2 linked regions of the Daphnia pulex genome follow. The protein of the gene in region 2 interacts with the protein of the main gene of each other region in a biochemical or structural test. Links are inferred from orthologs where the notes say so. Each region holds a gene or a part of one and is shown on either strand. Other genes may lie near its edges.

Region 1 (9,831 bases), on a different chromosome or scaffold from region 2:
TCTTTTGCGGTCGGCCATTAATAAACAAAAACAGAAGCGAAAAAATGGGGGGGTTGGAATTATTAAATATATCCTATCGCGCCGTGTACAGTCCCCATGTTGTTGTTGGCTGTGCGCCTCTTCCTATATTTACTACCGGGCGCATGCAGATGACGCTCGCTCGCTCGCTGCTGCCGACTACCGCCAGCTCTCCTGGTTCTCTCTGGTCCTGTATAACGTTGCGTGGAGACTATTTTTTGATTCGAGTACGGAAGGAGAGAGGGAGGCCAGCACCATCGTGAGAAAGTCGTAAGGGTGATTAAGAAAACATCGATCCGAGTCTATGTCATTGCGGTCAATCGGTTGCAATATGCCGAAAAAAAAATATTCGAATCAAAGAAAAAGAATCAAAAGAAAAACGGCAACAATGTTTCCCCCTTCCGTGCGGATTGGCTTGTAATTATTTCCTTAAAAAAGTAAAAAAGAAAAAACACGAAACGAAAGAAGAAGAAGAAGAAGAAAAAAGGTCTCGCAAGTTTAACAGTAGTGAACGAACGAAAGAAAACGGCCCTAGCTTGTATACGTGTGTGTGTTACGTGTGTGCGATGGGATAAGAGGATGGATGGAATAGACCGGAAGTTTGCCGAGTTTGTGTGTGTGAGAGGCTCATCATGCCGACGTTCCCACACGACGGAACGTCGCGCACACACAGGGCCCACCTTTCCAATGCCACACACACACACACACAATTGCTCCCGTATTTTCTTCTTTCCACTTGTTCTTCATCCCAATTTCTTTTTTTTTGTAAATTTTATTTTGTTTAGACTCGGGTTTGGATTGAGACCGTAGAGAAATACTTGGCGACACTTGGATTCATTTCAATTAATTTCGTTTTAATTTTTGAAATCAATTTCACCGGTGATTTGAATGCCTCGATAGACTGCATTTGAAACACCCGCCCATTTTGAATGCCTTTACAGAGCGCAATTTTTTGTTCACACCGAACCCAACGCACAGCCTTTGTGAGGGTCGTTGCCTTTTTATTACGCAACCTTGTTTATTTATTTATTATATTTTTACATTTCGGTAACCGACAAAAACAAAAAACAAGAAGCGATTCTTTTTCGAAAGTAGATTGCGTTCGTGTGTGGCTACTAGTCATAACAGCGTGATGACTTGAGAGCACGATATGATTTCTCATTGGTCATCTTTTTTTTTTTAAATCATTCCCCAATTTCCTTTTTTTTTCTAATCAAATAAAAAATAATTGCGACTCATTTCATCTGCAATTTGTTTGAACATCATTTTTTGATGAATAGCCAAATTTCTGTCGCGCCATTTTTTAAATTTTTAAATTGGAAGGAAGGAAGCGGGCGGCTCTACTAGCCTATAACGTGAATGGCAATCATTCTTCATTTGTTTTTGAAATCAGGAATTCGGCCTTCGTTGCATCTCTGAAACGAACGCAAATGACCAGTCCACATGTCCTTGTCTATGTATAGACGTCGGCATGTACTATTTGTCCTCGAATTCACCGTGCATGTCCGTGCGAATCCTTTTTGCCTTTCTTTTTTATAGGCTACTTACATACATATACTAGTGTACACCTCTCTATGTGCAGTTTGGAAAAAGAGAGAGAACCCGTAAGAGCAATTGTTGTCACAGCAAAATGTTGGCGCTTCGTCTTATTTATTCAAATATGATCGTGTGTAAACATTTCCGCATTGACAATTTACTTTTTCGATCCTTTAATTCAATCGCAATTTGATTTGGCTAATAATTTTTGATTCAAACCAAAAGTCGAATGATTTTTTTCAAATAATTAAAAATAATTATATAAGTCCCGGAAGGTGTTGGGGCTGCAGGTCCGATGGACCTTGACGAATGTTCATACAAAGATGAGCGAGGGGGGCAGAGGCCTTGAGAGGAAGAGAGCTGGCCCGCTCAATAATTATTGCGACGTGATTTTCTTCGTTTGGGGCTTTCGGCTCGGCTGGGTGTAGGTCCAGTGGGAGGTGCTGGTTTCCCACCGACCGCTTAGTCCCGCAGGTAGAAGCTCAGGTATAGCGTGATTAGGCGCTCAGAGCCAATGGGAAACGTCCCGACGCCCATTGGCTGTTGTCAACCCAACCATCACGCCTCCCCCACCCCCCACTCTCGACTCCCGCCGACGCCACGGCGTCGCTCTCATCATCCACACGCTCACGAATTTTTTTGTTCACGAGTTCCCGCCTCTTCCCCCTTTGCATGCGCGCTCGATCGATTCCCCCCCCCTTCTCCCGCGAGTCTCTCTCTCTCCTATTATCCGGCGGAATGAATCGACTCGACAGACAATACAATCGGCCCATCCGCCATTGAAGGTTCTTCTTTTCCGTCGTTCCTCCGAAAAAATCGTTCGTTTGTTCATCTTCTTCCAACTCCCGGGGACTTTGCCATCCATCCGAGTGTTTTCGGTTTATTTTTGGTTTGACTTGCGCAATCGTTTTGTGTGATGTCTCCATATGCCACCGAGGCTAAGGCCAAGTGTTGACAACATCTTCATCCGCATTGCAACTTGAGAGAACTTTCCTGCGTCCACTTCCGACCGTCATCATCATCATCCAACACCCCGAGAAAACTCGCAAGCGAAATTTGAAACTTGACTTTTTTTCCAACTCGCAGGGAGAAATGAACGACGCCTATCTCGACACTCAGGTAAAATTCCAAACGGGATGAGGGTGTTATTCTCTTTTTTGGGGTTTCGTTTCTGTGAATGGACTGGCGGTTAGTCGCTTTCTTGTTCCTTTTGAATGAAATTTGAGACTTGAAAAGAAGAAGACGAACATCCTTTTAATAATTGGAGTCGAGAGTCGATTTGTGGTCGGTCGGTCGGCCGAGCGTAGGACACTCAAAAGTCACCGGACCGTGACCAGTGTGTGAACCATCCGAAGAGTTTTAGAAGAAAAAAAATCAAAGGAAAGAAGAAGAAGAAGTTATTTCTTCCCGATTTTTTTATTTTCCTTTCGTGAGTCGACCAACACAGCTCAGAATAAAAGAACTCGGCGTTATAGGTTAAGCGTCATAGATTGAAATAAAAAAGTGGATTGATTCTTTCTTTTTACGATCACGATCCTGTCGGAGTTTGTTGCCACTTTTGTTCCAAGCCTCACACATTCACGACGTTGACTCTTCTCACGCTGTTGTATCGCGATGGATACATTGACATTATCCTCCCTACCCATTCGGCGTAATGACAGATTTCAAAGCTGCTATTTCGAGAAAAATAGCTTATGTGTACGTGTTTGGTTTATTTTTTTTTTGAAAGTTTTTTGGAAATAGATACAAAAAGATCGGCCATTTTAGACCTTGGCTGCGCACGGGGTTGGCCAACCTGTTGATTGTAGGTTCGAGGGAAAGCCCAGTCACCACTTTTTCGCTTTTGTGTTGAGATTGGTAGTGCAGTATACACAGTGTGATATTAGCCACTTGTATTTTTCCCAAACTCTCTATCAATTATCTTAATTTTTTGGGGGCTTATTTGGAAATCCTGTGCGCGTAGAATAGAAATTTGCTTTTTTGTTTGGGACTTGCCCATTTTTGTTTTTCAAAGGGGGAAAAGGTACACCGACTACAATATAGGACGTTATTCGCGTGGGAATCCGACGCCGACGCCCTTTAATAATAATAAAAAAAAGTAAAAATAAAACTTATGGTTTTCTGGGGGGAATGGTGAATTTTCAACCCCCCCTAAAATTCCAGCAGCACGGTCTAATCGTGAACTATTGTATGTACATACGTAACCCCTCCTTTGGATCTATAGACTCTCCACCCCTTGTCTGTCTGCGAATAGCGTCGCTCTCTACCATCCGTCGATAAGAGAAAATCGTCCAACATGACGATAGAATTTTGGGTTGTTTTCCCAGTTTCCCACGATACCTACGTAGATGTGAACCAAAACCAATTTTGTGGAAAATGCCAGTGACTTTGCGAGGGAGTAGACAGCAGAGATAGAGAGAGAGATCTATATTTAAGTTTATTTGGGGGTTTCTGTTGGGATATCGAAAGAGAGAGTCTCACTTTTTTTTTTCTTATTTAAAAAAGAACAAACAAACAACAAATTTGGTTGGTTGTGTTGTGTTAGTTCCAATGATGAAATGTGTACCGAAAAAACGTTTTCTCTCTGCGCCTTCGCCTTCTTCCCACGCTTTCTACACGGGGCTGTTACACCCTTTTTTGTTGTTGTTCTCTATTCTTTATTTTTTCGGTGGGTCCAATCAATGAAAATGACATTGCAGAGAATAAAACAAAAAACATATTGCAGTTTTGATTTATAGGAGCTACTCAAACTAGAAATGAAAGTCAAGTGGCTGGGGGTCTTTAAAAAATCCACAAAATGACGTTCGTCCAAAATAGATCGTCGCGAGTTCCTTTGTCGGTGAACATCAAATCAAAGCGCCGTGTGTTTATCTTATCCAACTAGAAGCAACGGTGAAAAGTCAATTTGAAACTTTTTGAAACAAAAATAAAAGAAGAAGAAGAAGAAAAAGTCAAAAGAAACGACACAATAACGAGCGAATCAAAGTCTCCCGGGAGGAAACGTTTCGGCTCCCACGTTCACGGAAATTAGGAGCAAAAAGAAGAAGAAGAAGAAGAAGAGCTTCCCTTATCATTGGAGAAGAGAATGATGTTGTGAGTTACTACGCCGAGCAATACGTGTAGAAGAAGAAACAGGTGACACTGACCTCGTCGGCGACCCCAACAAGCCCCCACCTCTTATATACGTTAGGAGCATTAGGAGCAGCCACCTCTGTACACCGCCTCTGACCTCTTGACGAGGTGCTCTTGTGGAGCTGCTCACCGTTCCACTTGTTGCCATTTTTTTCTCACGGCCCCTTACGTACCTGCCGCCCGATTGCCAGCGCATCGTGACGTGATCGACGAGTCGCAATGGGAAATTTATTTTCCTTCATCATCGTCCAAAATTTGAATTTTTGTTTTGTCTACTTTTCTTGTCAAATTTTTTCGTTCAAAATTTTTTTTAAATTTCGAACTGGTCAAATGGCCCGAGAAATGTTAGAACGGTGGGAGGAGCTTAGTTTTTTGGTTAAAAATAAGGAAGGTGGAGGGGAGGAGGAGGAGGAAGCGGGTTTTCAACACCAACCCCACTTTGTGTGTGTGTGTGTCTCCTTTCCGTGGATGCTCGACTCCGACGTCGTTCTCACACATTTGCGTCGGCGGGAAAAACTTTTTCTTTTTCTTTTTTTATTATGTCTTTCTTTTTATTTGATATTTATTTCGACTCTCCTTGTTGTTGTGTTCCCATCAGTTGGTTTTTTTCTTTCTTCTATTTTTACCTTTTGCGGAAGGAGCTTCTTCTCCTTCAATCCATCGTCCCGCGTGTTACCGCACAAACACGTGTGTGACGTCATTTCAAATGGTATGGTGGGGGGATATCTTTGTTGTTTCTTCCTTTTTGGCTACGCCACTTGTTGCCGAACGAAGTAAGACTCGAAAAAGAACGTCGACTAAATTTTTGGTTTTTTCCCACGTTATGCTCGCGTTACAACTTCCCCTTTAGCTCCGGCATCTCCATGTCTGTCTTTTTTTTTAAAGGGAGTGAGGGGGTCATTATTCAGTTTTATGCGGATGAACCCCCCTGCTCTACACTACACCAAATGACACGCCCTTGATGTGTTTGAACCCGACGACAAATTAATGGGAATTTCAGCGCATCTCTTGAAATTTTTATTTTTCAATTGGGATGTAGGCCCAAATTCCTTCCCCCCCCGATAAAATAATTAGACGTTTGATTCATCGGATTCCCCCACAGATCCCCCATGGTGTGTGCATATTCATTTACCACCCGTATTTATTAATTTGAATAATTCAGTTCGATCAAATTGGAATTGAATTGAAATAGGAAAAAATCAGTTGGGGGACTTTTTGGATCAAAGGGATTATTACGTGGAGCAGATTGCTGTGTAAATCTATTGGAGTCTATTTAAAAAGTTGTACAACAAAAGACAGACCTCCCCCACCCGATGACGCTTTCAACTCCCCCCTCCTTCCTCTTGTGTGTCCGTTTTGCTGGGGGTAGTAGGAGGAGGAGGAGGTACAGCTGCACACATAGTGTGTCTGTGTGCTCGGGACCTACCCTCCTCCCCCTATACACTCCACCCTAGGTGAAAAGGGGGCAGCCGCCGCCGCCGTCGTCGTCGTTGGGTAGAAAATGTTCAGTTTAGTTGCACGACGGTTGGACTGGAATCAGCACGCGCCCAGTGGCCGTCCTTGTCTCGTAACATCCGTCGATCTCAACGGAATTTGGTTTATCTCGTCGCCTAGTGTTTTTCGGTTTATCCAGTGAATTTGGTTTTGGACACATGTGACGCTTTTTAGCCATTGACAATCGTCAACATTTTTCGCAGTGAAATATTGGAACGAAGTTTTAATAAAAGAAATTTGGACAAAATGCCCGACGTTGCGCCCAGCTCAATGGACCTCGACTCGGAGCCCTACACACCCAGCGCACGTAGTCCGCTCGCCGATACTTGGGTATTTAAAAAAATAATAATAAGGAAGAAAATTTGAAGTTTTCCAAGTTTTGTGTTTGCCGACTCGTGTTGATATTGGCGGCAATTTTCAAACGTTTGAAATTCTTTTGATTTTATTTTTACTGGGTCGATGATAAGAATCTTACGACGATGATGATTATGTCGGCGATAAGGAATGTGTCTCAGACTCAATGACACACACACACACACAGACATGCGTAACCGGTGATATCGTGTGAAAAAGAGAAGCCGACTTGTGTCAACATCACGATTTTCAGTTATAGGCAATTCCCGATTTTTACGACTTTGGCTGTCGTCCACGATTATTTCCTGTCCGGTAGCCCGTTTATTTTTTATTTATTTTTTTCCTTTTCTTCCCGGCATCTTTTTATTGGATCCGAATTCAATTCTCCTTGAATTTCGATCGGATAAAAAAAAATGATCAAATTTCGAACAATTTGAAAATTTTGAATTTGGCGCGCTCCGCTCGAATTTTGTTTACACACGTGAGTGTGTGGGAAAAAAAAAAACTTTTCTTCTGTTGTTGTTGATTATGTATTTGCTCCCCCCCCCCTTCCTCTGATATTAAAAGCCAGTATAGAGAGGTAACAGTTAGTACATGAGCTTTAGTGTGTGGGTTTTGAAAGAGAAAAAAATAAGCAGGGCGGAAGGATGTGCCCGCCGGGGTTTGCGGAGGAGGTCATTTATACATACAAAAGGTTAGTCTCTGTGTGTGTAGTGACTACCGTACTACTACTACACTACTACTATGTCTATATAGTAGCCACCACCACCACCAGCGGGACTGTGTTTTTCATTTTCCCAGACGGCCAAATTCTTTCCCACGAACCGGGGCGGGTTTGGTGGGTGCATGGGTACATGGGTCGAGGTTTTGATCACAACTCTCCTATACATTCTCCCCCCCCCCCTTTCCCCCCACTCATTTTTGTGGGGGTTCACACACAAGAAACTTTTTCAATTGACATTCCATCGGGCCTCGCCCAGCAACTGCACAGCCCAGCACTGAACAACTTGGTAGTTTCTCCTCTCTTAGAAAAGTGATGGCGATTCGTATTACCGATTCCCAGATCGGTTTACTTTTGGCTGCTCAACATCTAAATTACAAAAGATCTCTCATTTTTCAAATGCTTCGCCAAATCAATTTTCATTTGGGTGACTACAAGTGTCTGTCCGTCTGTCTGTCTGGACGGACTTAACATTTAAAAAGTTGAGTTGCTTTTGTTTAACTTTTTGATTTCGGGTTGATTTCTTGACAAGAATCTAACAAATTGGAGATAACACACACACACACAGAGACGGAAAGAGTTAACGAGAGCCTTCTAAAGTGTCTAGTGTGTTTGTGTGGGAACCGCCGGCGGCCATCTCTTTCAAAAAACTTTTTTTTTCTTTTTTACTTCTTGTTCAACACAAGAGGGGAAAAACAACAAAAAATGTGTGTGTATTTCGTACTATATACCCTTGTGTGTGTGCACTGGTTCAAACAATTTGTTCTTTTAAAAAATAGAAAGAAGAGGGGAGAGCCCCTTATTTTAAAAGAAAAAGGTCATCCGATCCCTTCTCTCTTATTCAAAAAAAGATGCCTCGAGAGAAACCGTATAGAGAGTAGAGAGGAGCTAGGATACATAGAGAAGAACAACCCACCAACTTCATTTGCCTGCCGGAGACTGTGGGAAACGGTCACTTTTTCAAACGCACTCTGCACTCGACCAACTTTTGAGTTGGAAAATATTTTTTTTCAAGTTTGAATTTCCCTCCCTGCACAATGTTGTCCAGTGAATTTGTTTCTATACGCCAAGGATTATTCATCATCGATCGGTAACAAAAACTTACGTCATCTGATTTTTGAAAAAAATGTTTCTTTAAAATCTAGTGCACGTGGAGATTTATGGATATTATTCTCTCCCAGAGTCTATTTCTTTTTCGGTCGGCTCTGTTATCCTCGACGTCATTCAATGTGTATACATAGCGAAGTGGGTGACGGGGTGGGGGGTGGAGAGAGAGAGAGTGAAAAGCGTGTGGGAATCGGCGCACCTGTCGACGACGTCGTCGTCGCTTTAGCCACCGAGTGGCTCTCAACGCGCACGTCCAAAATGCCGTGCCAGGCCAAAACGTCTCTCGGGGAGGGGATGAAATTATTTTTTTCTTTTTTCTCTTCACGTCGTCGTCGTATTCGTCGTCGTCGGGTCAAGTGTGAAATAACAACCGACACTGTAACGCAGCCCAGCGGGACAGTAGGACTCGGGCCGAGCATCAAGCCGGTCTCCCTTTCAACTCTGGAAAAAAACAATTTCATTTTTGTTTCGAATTCAATCGGCCGTTTCGTTATTTTCATTGGGACAATGTGTCGCCATTTTCTCGATTGATTGATTGTTTTTGGATCAGATAAGATTTTTTGGATAGTTTCTTATTGATTAGATTTGAATTATGCCTCTAGCTAAGCCGTTGGTGAGTCGAGTCGAGCGTTTTTGGTTTATTTGGTTATTGGCGTGGAAATTTAAAAACGAAACTTTGTTTTAATATTTTGATTGAATTTTTCCGACAGGCCCATTACGGGTTCAGTTTAAGTGGCGGTTACGAGGCCCAGCACAGCCGCGAGTCTGTGGATTTGATCGGCGGAGTCAACAACAGTGTGGCCGTGACATCGGTGGCCGGAACGGTCGGCTCATCCGGTTCGACAGTCGTCGGCGTGGGACACGGAAGCGGCGGCGAGGTGGACGTTTGGTCCAATTCGCACGATCCTTATTCGCCCCACAATCACCACCACCATCAGCAGCAGCAGCAGCAACAACAACATCACCACCAGCATCATCACCAGCAACAACAACATGCCGCTTATTACGGACAGGTAACATCCAATCAACTTTAAACTTTTCAAATTCCATTCCGTTTGCAACTTTTCATTTTATTTTCCTTCAAACAGTCTGTGGGTGGAGGGCAGGTGATGACGGAATTGCTGACAGCTACTCATCCGCCGTCTTCTTACAACCTCAACCAGCCTCAACAACAACAACAGCAGCAACAACAACAACAACAACCGTTCACGCCTACCGAGCAGCACCCGGTCGATTTGTCGAATTCTCAGCAACGACCTCCCAATCCGGCCGTTTCAGCCGCCACTTCGGCCGCCTTCTACGGTCTCTCGGCCGCCGACTACAACAGCCCCGCAACCTCGTCCAGTCAACGTCAGCGCGGAGGCAACGACACCTACAAACCCAACGGGCTCAGCCTCTCGCTGGGCATCCCCGATTCCGGTAAATATTAAAAGTCAAAACGAATAAATAATTTCAAAGCATATTGTCGT
Region 2 (9,930 bases):
ATGTCATTACGTCAGTACTCGATAATCTTAGATGCCAAAAATGCATAAAATAGATAGCCTGCATGTCTAAACGAAACTTAACATGCGTGGGTATGCGCACACATATTTTATGACTGACTGACCATCAATAAGAACATAAATTTCTTTCTTCATTTATTTATTTAAGTTCCAATCAGTATTATATCAATCAAAACAGATATAGATTAAATCCTTGAAACTTCATCATTTTCCATAAAACTGACTAAATATTGACACGACTGCCAATAGTTGCAATATTACTACAATAAATAATTAATAGTTTCGTTTGCTTGAATTTTCCTCGTCTCGTTACTCGTTAGTCACTAATTCATTCTTCGAATTACCAGGGTTTGCAACAAAGCAAATATGCAGTACAGACCACGACCGATAGGGGGCTGCATAAGAGCCCGAGACCGGCAAGTTTCAAGTTTCAACCAGTTTCAACATTTTTGACGCAATAAATAACCTTGTGTTAATTCACGATGTAGAATTGTATTTCTCCAACAAAGACCATTAAACTTTCAAATTCAAATAGGAATCTTAGCACACTTGCGTTATTTGCCAAAAGTCGCATTTCCCCCGATGGTGTGTTAAAACCGGTTTAACAATGTAACAAAGTTACATTTGCTGAGTAAAATAGTTAAATCCAAAAATATGGTCATCTAGACTTTGCGACTGACAAACTCTGGTTGCTCTTCGAAGTTCCTAGATTGATGAAACTAAAATTTAAAAATTGTGTTAGAAGACGCCTAGTCTGATAGGAATTTTACCTATAGTATTTTTTATTTCATTATGTTGTAGGAAAATAAGATAATAAGAAAACGAATCAGTAAAACGAAAGCAAGAAAAAAAAACGCATAGATATAAACAGCTGAGATCAGCAAGTTCGCACGTTGCTAAAGAAGTTCACACGAATGCGCACGAATGCTAAAGAAAATAAATGGACCTATTATTTGAAACTGTAGATTCACTGCTGAATTTGTTGGATCGAGTTTGGCTACCTAAACCCTTAACATAAAGCATATTAGAGAAGCACATCGCTATTGGTTTTCTACGCAACATGTCAATAATTAAAATCATATTACACAATGTCATGAGTTCCATGAAGTATTCAGTTGAGCTTTCGACGAACTCATCAATCACATCTCGAATATAAATGAGGATTGTGAAAGATTTTTCAGGAATCGAATTCGTCTGGCTATAGTCATTTGTAAATCTCAACCCTCATTAGGCTACATCCTATATGTCGTATCATATTCCTAAGAAGATCTTCCTTGTTTAAGCCGGTCTCAAAGTAATACATTCTAGTGTAGAATTACTTTCTGCAACAGAAATTGCATTTTCAATGGACGAGACGTTTGATTCGATTAAATTCAAATTCGAAATAATCTAATGCTTTAAATGCCCTTGCTTCTTCTCCTTGTTTAGTTCTGAAAAACAGAGTTATGACCAAGTTATGACTTATTTATTTGTGATCTAATATAATATCTATTCTATGCAGGTTCTTAAAAAATATTGGATAAGCTAATATGTGGTTTCGACAAATCAACATTGAAATGTCTTATTAGCAGTTTGGTGAATTTTGAGCACAACCAGACAACTATACAAATCTATACTATAGAACTCTACTGCCTCCAGCTCTTTTTCTTTGTCTGGTGGTAGTAGGAAGGGGGGACACCGGGACATTGATATTTTAGAAAAGATTTGACGACGATTTTTCGATCCATTTTGACAAGGAAAAACAGACCACGCACTTGAACACCATCGGCCTCTGCCAAGATCAGTGCGGCTGCAACACCAACAAAGATGATGCGGGTTTTAAGGCAAACAACCTTCGAGGCTTTTCTTCTCTTATCTTTCGTGTTGTGTCCGTCCAACAACATCTCCCCTACGAAAAAACAACCAAGCCTCTGGCTATGGCATTCCTCCCCATGGGCTGACCTCGACGTTGACCTCTTCTCCGCCACACCAACTCTGGCGCCACTGGATGGAAACATCTGTACTCGTTTCTTTCTCCCCTCTCTCTTCTGAAGCAATAAACAAAAGGGAAGAAGAAGAAGAAGAAGAAAAAAAGCAGTAAAAAAATTCATATTCGAAACCACCTGCCCCTGGGGCTTTGGCGCCATCTTTGTTCACCACCACTTTGGGATTCATCAAGTTCATAATAATTAAAAAAGACGAAAAAAGAGTGTGTTTCAAGGTTGATATCTGTGGTACTACCGAGGGCGGGATACCTCCGTGTTGGGTCGGGTTGCGTTTTTTTGACCGCAAAATAAGATTTTTTTTTTTTTTTCATTTTTTAACTCAAAAACTAACGGCCGGAACATTCCCACGCTTGCCATTGTCGTGGTATTATCTGGAAAGCCAGGTGCACTTGCCAATGACCACTGATAATCACCGTGATTTAGAAAAAAAGAAAAAAAAAAAATTAATATCTAAAACTTGTTGATAACAAGTTTTCAAAACCTATACGACGACGACGTCGACGCATTGGCTCTGTCCGGTGTTTGCATCTACTCACGAACGACAAATGATTTCATTGTCCCGATTATCATTTTTGACAGATCTAGACACGGGGTCAACGGTTGCGCTCCACACGACTGGAGAAATAGGTTGGATCGATTTATCACGAAGCGAATTTTCCTTTTCTTTTTTAGAGGCCTAGAAACGAGTTTTTTTTTTTTATTCCGTTCCCACGGATAACCATTTCACCCCTCTCCATTTGATCGTTTGATTCAATTCCCCCCTACTTTTTGTGATCCGTTTGAGTGGTTTACATGTGCAACAGTTGCTGCCAATCTGTCGCAACTACCCCACCACCACTTGTGGTGAAGGGGGTTTGGTCACGTGACCATCGATAGAGCATTGAGTTGATTGTTTGGGTTTTACGCTCGAGGAATACGAACAAGTCAATGCAGGAACAAGTTGGTTTAGTTCTAAGTTTGGGTATCTCGTTAACCCTTTTATCCCAACGGGAAAGACCTGATGATTTTCGTGTCTAACTGCACGGTAGATGATGAGAACCAATCAGCGCGGATCGAATGTAAAATGGGGAAAAAAAAAGGAAATTTCGGTTCGAGGCGTATATGACACAAATAAAAATATGAATGATGCAGAGCCATAGGCAGAAGAAGAAATGAATATAAATATGATGAAAGGCGCATCACGCAATGGGTAGAACGCAGAAGATGATTCCGGCGGCGCCAGTTGAATGATCAATCACGGTCTACATGATGCGGCCTTCGGATTCCTGGAGCTTGATGATGATTGCCGGTCATCTAGTTTCTACCTTCTTTTTCCGTTTTTCGTATGGTGCATCAGACTGTTTCTTTCTCAATTGCATTATTTTTTTGTGGGCTCGACAACGAGCTGCTTTCGTGATGTAGCCCACTTTTACGGCTGATTATACCATGCGCGGAATGGCAGAAAAACAATGGACGGACATGTCAACTGGATGAGGAGCTTAAAGGCGTCACGATCCCAGTCAAAAACAAATCGACAGGTCCTTTTTCCAATCGGCTTCACTAAAAGGGAAAGTTGCTGGAAAGATTTGGACGATGTCACTTTTTCCCCTGTATGATGGATGGGGGGATATTTCATCCCTACGGAAATCAGACAATATAAAAATATATTTCTAGGCCTAGTATTCCTCTTGGGTCTTTTATGATCGGCCCCAAAATTCTTTGAGAAGCTCCCTTCTTTCGGCTTTAATTACTTTCTTCGGGGAATTCTATTCTACATGTTTGTGAAATAGAAGAAACCAAGTCATGAACTTGTTAGACTCGCAATCAAAGTTTCATCTAGAATATACCACAAATACAAATAACTCTGTGGTTGAGAAAAATCGTTATTATAGGCGACACGTTTGGCCGAGTGACAGAATACTGGAAGAAGAATAGGCGCAATTTCAATTTTGTTCTTGTGTATTATAATTTTTCTTCTCTGTGTGCAGCAAGAAAACCCGCGGAGATTGCAAGGAGAAAGGAAGAGAACAAGTCGGACTCTGATTGGTTGTCGGTGGTTTTGCCTCGAGGCCAGTTATTCTGATAGAGCGACTCCCTCCGGCCAGTCGAGAAGCGTCCGTTGAACGGGAAGGATGTACTGTGTCGCTGCTGCTTGAATTTCTTCCATTTTTCTCTGTGTGCATCTGAGTTTAACAAAAAATCTCTTTACTGGAAAAGTGTGTAAAAACAAGAGAAAAAGTGCATCACCATGACCCAGTGGCTGAAAGTGTTGGTGTTTTGAGTGATTTAATTTTTCATCTATTCAACACAAAGAGGGAGAGAAGAAAGAAAGAAACGTTAAGTGTGTGTGAGTCCCTGTTTTTGTTGCTGCCATTAAAAATGGGGACCGACCGCAGTGGATTACTGATGCTGTTGCTGGGCATTCTCGTCTTCTTCTCAGCTTCAGTTCAAGGTAACCTTGACGTTTTTGTCTCGAATATTCGTGTGGCTTAAAATTACCTCATGACGATTGTTTCATTAAAGGTAGGGGGGAGTCTGAAAAAAGTAGTTGGGATGACGGTTAGAGTTTTGTTGCATCTGCTCTTCTTTTCAAAAAAAGACGCCGGGCCCCGTAGGGCTTTACATTTCCCACGCATTTAAATCCCCCCTCCAACCGACGCTCTCATTGTCCTTCTCTCTCCCCCCCCCCCCCCCCCTCTCCGACCTGTTGATCGACGTTGCCGAGATCTCAGCAAATCATTTTATTTATTTTTTAAAATTAAAAAAAGAATATGGTGATGACCAACATATCCGGCGAATAAAGACATCGTGAGATGATTAAGTTTCAAGACATTTTCATCAGCCAAGACATTTTGGTGGTGTCACATAGCGTTAGGCCACATGTTATTTGATAGTCATGAGTTAATGATGTTAGACAATAGCGTCGTATGTCCATTGAATCGTATCCTCTATCAGGGCGGAAGTGCATGATAGTGGACCCGTTTCCGTTGCTCTTTTTGTGTGTGTGTATTATCATTCACTCAAATCAATAATAATAATTAACTGTAATTTTTTTTCTTTTTTTTTTATTTATTCCAGGATTCGTTTCGTGTTCGCCCAATCCCTGCAAGAATGGAGCGTCGTGCGTCTCCAACCCGCGCGGCGAGTCTTACTGCAGGTAACGTCCATTGTTGAAAGTCTACAGGGGAGATCTATCCCCCCCCCCCTCTCTCTCTCTCTCCAATGGTAGAGTCTCTCTCGCTCAGAAGCGTGGGAAACAAGCTGGTCTGCATAGTTTGGGCTATTGAAACCACCTACCGTCAGCCACCCTACCACCACCACCTTGTCCACTTTTTTTTTTTGTTCCATCCGGTTTGGGCCCGAGCTGCTCACGTACTGCCTCCAGCTCTTTTTCTTTGTCTGGTAGTGGAGGTGGTAGTAGAAGGGGGGGAACGTTGATTTTTTATTTTTGGGGATTATGCTTTGATACACATGGTCCAGTTGCTCCAATCACTTGTGAAACAAATGATTAACTCTTTTTATTTTTATTTTTTACAGCTGTCCGCCGCAATACGTGGGCGAGTACTGCCAATTTGCCAACCCCTGCCATACGGGACCCGGACCTCGGTGCCAAAATGGCGGCACTTGCGCCGTCAAAATGTCGACTAATGCCGTGCCCAGCTTCTCCTGTTCGTGTCCGCTGGGTTACTCGGCCTCGCTGTGCGAGATTCCCGTGCCCAACGCCTGCGACACTGGGCCGTGCCAACACGGCGGAACGTGTCTACTCCGCACGCTGGATAACTACACCTGCGCCTGCTCGTCGGGATTCCGCGGCGCCAAATGCGAAGCTGTCGACCACTGCGCCCTGCATCCGTGCAAAAACGGTGCCCAGTGCACGTCTTTGTCGGACTCTCACCGCTGCACTTGCGCTCCTGGATTCGCTGGCCCGACGTGCGCTGTGGACATTGACGAGTGTAAACGCAACCCGTGCATCCACGGTCGCTGTGTCAACACCCACGGATCATACAAGTGAGTCCAGTCGTATTGACTCTTGTCGTCAACCATCTGTTGATCTTTCTTGGCATCCTTATCTCGACGTCATGATTGTCAAATGATTACCAAGCTGACTCAACAAAGTTGTTGACGCCGACCAAAGAAAGTCCGAGGGGAAATTTTTTCGTCACATCTTTATTATTATCTTCTATTCAACATTTTTTTAAAAATGTAGTTTCCTTCCAAAAATATTAAAAGAGGACAAAAAAGAAATTAAATTTTTCAAGGCTTTCATTGTCGAGTTAGCGTGGGAACGGCCGAGGCGAAAACAAGTCCATTAAATCGCCGTGGTCAGTAGACACCAGATTGAATTTATTTGTACTTTCTCGTCACGTGTCTGTGTGTGTCTCGTCTCATGTTTGTATCATGCCGGGCGCTAATCATCCGTTTGTATCCGTTTACTTTTTTTATTTTCCAGATGTAACTGCCACACGGGTTATACTGGCCAGAATTGCGAAAATCAGTATGTGCCATGCAGTCCGTCTCCATGCCAGAATGGTGGTGCGTGCAAAGCCATCGATTCTCTCAACTACGAATGCCGTTGTCCGCCTGGTAAGTCTCATAAAATTTGATTGAACCTTTTATTCCTCTTCTTTCCGGTAAATTTATGACAACTGAAACGAATTGTTGGTCCCAACAACCAAAAAGAAACAACAACAACATTGAATCTGGTTAGAGTAGCCATAAAGTCATTGTCGGCTGTTAAAATGAAGTTTAAATCTAAAGTCATCAGATTTCGGATGTGCTTGGTTTCCATCGGTGGGAACATTCCCACACACACAAGAAAGCCAAAACTTGTTATACCCTCGGGGCAAACCTCGTCCATCCAGAGAGACTTGAATATAAATATCCGAGCCCCTCTCTCTCTCTCTCTCAAATCTCTCCAGGCTCTTTTATGTTCCGACCCCTCCACCTTTCTCTAAAAAAAAGAACACCTGGGCGATGACCAACAAAGAATTCTTTCCTGTCTACTTACAGCGTTGCCATTTTCCCTTTAACACGAATCTAATATTTCCCCCCTTTCTTCTGATTATCAAAATTCTAGGCTTTGCTGGTACCAATTGCCAAGAAAATGTCAACGACTGCCCCGGTCATTTATGCCAGAATGGAGCCACTTGCGTCGATGGCGTCAATTCCTACACATGCCAGTGTCCACCATCCTTTACGGGGCCTTATTGTAATCAAGACGTCGATGAATGTGCTTTGAGGCCTAGCGTCTGCAAGAACGGCGCTACTTGTACCAACACCCACGGTGGATTCTCCTGCATTTGCGTCAACGGCTGGACTGGATCCGACTGCTCGGAGAATATCGATGATTGCGCCGGTGCCGCTTGCTTCAATGGCGCCACTTGTCACGATCGAGTCGGCAGTTTCTTTTGCCAATGCGCTCCAGGTACTGCCGAGAGAGAATAACTTAAACTTAAAAACCGGTTCTTCTTTATTAATTCCATCAAAATGGTTTATTCAATTCAAGGCAAAACCGGATTGTTGTGCCATTTGGACGATGCCTGCGCTTCAAACCCTTGTCACGCCGGAGCCATTTGTGATACTAGTCCCATCGACGGCACCTACATGTGTTCCTGCCCCAACGGCTACAAAGGAGTCGACTGCACTGAAGATATCGACGAATGCGAAGCCGGATCGCCTTGCGAGCACGACGGACTCTGCGTCAACACGCCCGGCTCATTCCGCTGCAATTGCACGCGGGGTTTCACCGGCCCTCGCTGCGAGATCAACATCAATGAATGCGATTCCAACCCCTGCCAAAATGACGGCACTTGTCTGGATGAACGTGGAGCCTTCCGCTGTGTCTGCATGCCAGGTATGTGATTCTTGATCTCTTCCGGGTGTGGCAATAAGAGGTCAAAGTTCGTGAGACTTTTTCCCCCCTTCCGTTGGGAAAGTGAAGGTTAGCTTGGCGTGGGAAACCATATGAGCTTCTCAAAAACCATGTGTTTGTCTCAAATTCTCAAGTTGGGCCTTAAGTGGCAGTTGGTAATTTGAGATAAACCACCCCGCTCCGGTCCAGTTTCACTCGACGCAATCCATCACGAGTGCCGATGTCGATAGAGAGAGAGATCCAACAGCTGCCTGCAGGAGGAAAAGGCCCCGATGCATCATTGACACTTTTTTCTCATTTTCTGTAGGCTACACGGGTGTCCATTGCGAAGTTGACATCGACGAGTGCGCTTCCAGCCCTTGCATCAACGGTGGCATCTGTACCGACATGATTAATGGCTACAAATGTGTCTGTCCGCCCGGTTTCTCCGGCAAGAAATGCCACATCAACATCGACGATTGCGTCAGCTCGCCATGCCAAAACGGAGGCGTTTGCAGAGACTCGGTGGCCGGCTACACTTGCAACTGTCCTCAGGGATTCACCGGACTCAACTGCGAAGTCAACATCAACGATTGCCAGAGCTCACCCTGCCATCATGGAGATTGCGTCGACGGCGTCAATTCCTTCACCTGCCAATGTCATCCAGGCTACAACGGACTCTTGTGCCAGACGCAAATCAATGAATGCGAATCCAATCCTTGCCAATTCGGCGGCCATTGCGAAGACCTTATTGGTGGCTATCAATGCCGATGCCAGCCTGGAACATCGGGCCGTAATTGCGAGTACAACGTCAATGAATGTTTCAGTAATCCTTGTCGTAATGGAGCCACTTGTATCGACGGAATCAACCGATACACTTGCGACTGTGTGCCAGGATTCACCGGACAACATTGCGAGACTAACATTAACGAATGTGCCAGCAATCCCTGCTCAAATGGAGGTAACTGGTTATATTTATTCCTTTATTTATTTTTAAATCAAATTTGGTATTTAATGCTCGGTTTTTCTAGGTAAATGCACGGACTTGGTCAACGGCTTCAAATGTGACTGCCCTCGCGGTTATTTCGACGCCCGCTGTTTGAGTGACGTCAACGAATGCGAGTCGAATCCTTGCATGAATGGAGGAAGCTGTGAAGATGGCGTCAGCCAATTCATTTGCAATTGCCCTAAAGGATACGGCGGCAGAAGATGCGAACTCAACATTGACGAGTGCCAATCCAACCCGTGCCAACACGGAGGCACATGCCGTGACGCCCTCAATAACTACACATGCACGTGCACCAAAGGTTACAGCGGACGAAACTGCGAGGTAGGATTTTTCTCAAACTTAAAATGATTATAGAGTAGTTTTTTTAAAAATTATTTCATTTCTTTTTGTAGCTCAACGTTGACGATTGCGCCTCGACACCTTGTCGTCACGGAGGTTCGTGCATCGATTTGGTCCATGATTACCAATGCGTTTGCGACCTGCCTTACACTGGCCGCAATTGCGACGCGGAATTGGATCCGTGTGCGCCCAACAAGTGTCGCAATGGAGCCAAATGCACACCGTCCAGTAATTTCCTGGATTTCGCTTGCACTTGCGAGTTGGGCTACACTGGGCGTTTGTGCGATGAAGACATTGACGAGTGCGCCATTTCGTCACCTTGTCGTAACGGAGCCACATGTCAAAATACCAACGGATCTTACGTTTGTCTTTGCGCCAAAGGCTACGAAGGCCGCGATTGCTTGACCAACACGGACGATTGTGCTACATTTCCCTGCAAGAACGGCGGAACTTGCCTGGATGGCATCGGCGAGTACACGTGTCTCTGCGTCGATGGATTTGGTGGCAAACATTGCGAGGCCGACATGGACGAATGTGCTTCCAGTCCGTGCCGAAACGGAGCCACTTGTCGCGACTACGTCAACTCGTACACTTGCACTTGTCCCTTGGGTTTCTCCAGCACCAATTGCCAGACCAACGACGAGGATTGCACCACCAGCTCGTGCATGAATAACGGAACTTGCGTCGACGGCATCAATACCTACACTTGCCTCTGCCCACCCGGATACACTGGATCCAACTGTCAGTTC

Evidence for each region. The genes of interacting proteins can lie anywhere in the genome.
Region 1: the proteins of neurogenic locus Notch protein-like (region 2) and recombining binding protein suppressor of hairless-like form a complex in vitro, tested with the Drosophila melanogaster proteins (4 studies listed by BioGRID). The link is inferred for Daphnia pulex from reciprocal best matches to the Drosophila melanogaster genes N and Su(H).

What each region holds. Positions count from the first base shown.
Region 1 is NC_060025.1:8,032,761-8,042,591, reverse strand, and holds the start of recombining binding protein suppressor of hairless-like, read left to right. Parts: upstream 1-4,986; 5' UTR 4,987-6,426; coding exon 6,427-6,510; intron 6,511-8,095; exon of another isoform or gene 8,096-8,345; intron 8,346-8,750; exon of another isoform or gene 8,751-8,954; coding exon of another isoform or gene 8,955-8,975; intron 8,976-9,072; coding exon 9,073-9,375; intron 9,376-9,450; coding exon 9,451-9,781; intron 9,782-9,831. UniProt on the Drosophila melanogaster protein: Transcriptional regulator that plays a central role in Notch signaling, a signaling pathway involved in cell-cell communication that regulates a broad spectrum of cell-fate determinations.
Region 2 is NC_060028.1:5,079,272-5,089,201, reverse strand, and holds the start of neurogenic locus Notch protein-like, read left to right. Parts: upstream 1-4,085; 5' UTR 4,086-4,361; coding exon 4,362-4,434; intron 4,435-5,060; coding exon 5,061-5,139; intron 5,140-5,519; coding exon 5,520-5,990; intron 5,991-6,432; coding exon 6,433-6,566; intron 6,567-7,059; coding exon 7,060-7,407; intron 7,408-7,488; coding exon 7,489-7,836; intron 7,837-8,161; coding exon 8,162-8,794; intron 8,795-8,864; coding exon 8,865-9,163; intron 9,164-9,234; coding exon 9,235-9,930. UniProt on the Drosophila melanogaster protein: Essential signaling protein which has a major role in many developmental processes. Functions as a receptor for membrane-bound ligands Delta and Serrate to regulate cell-fate determination.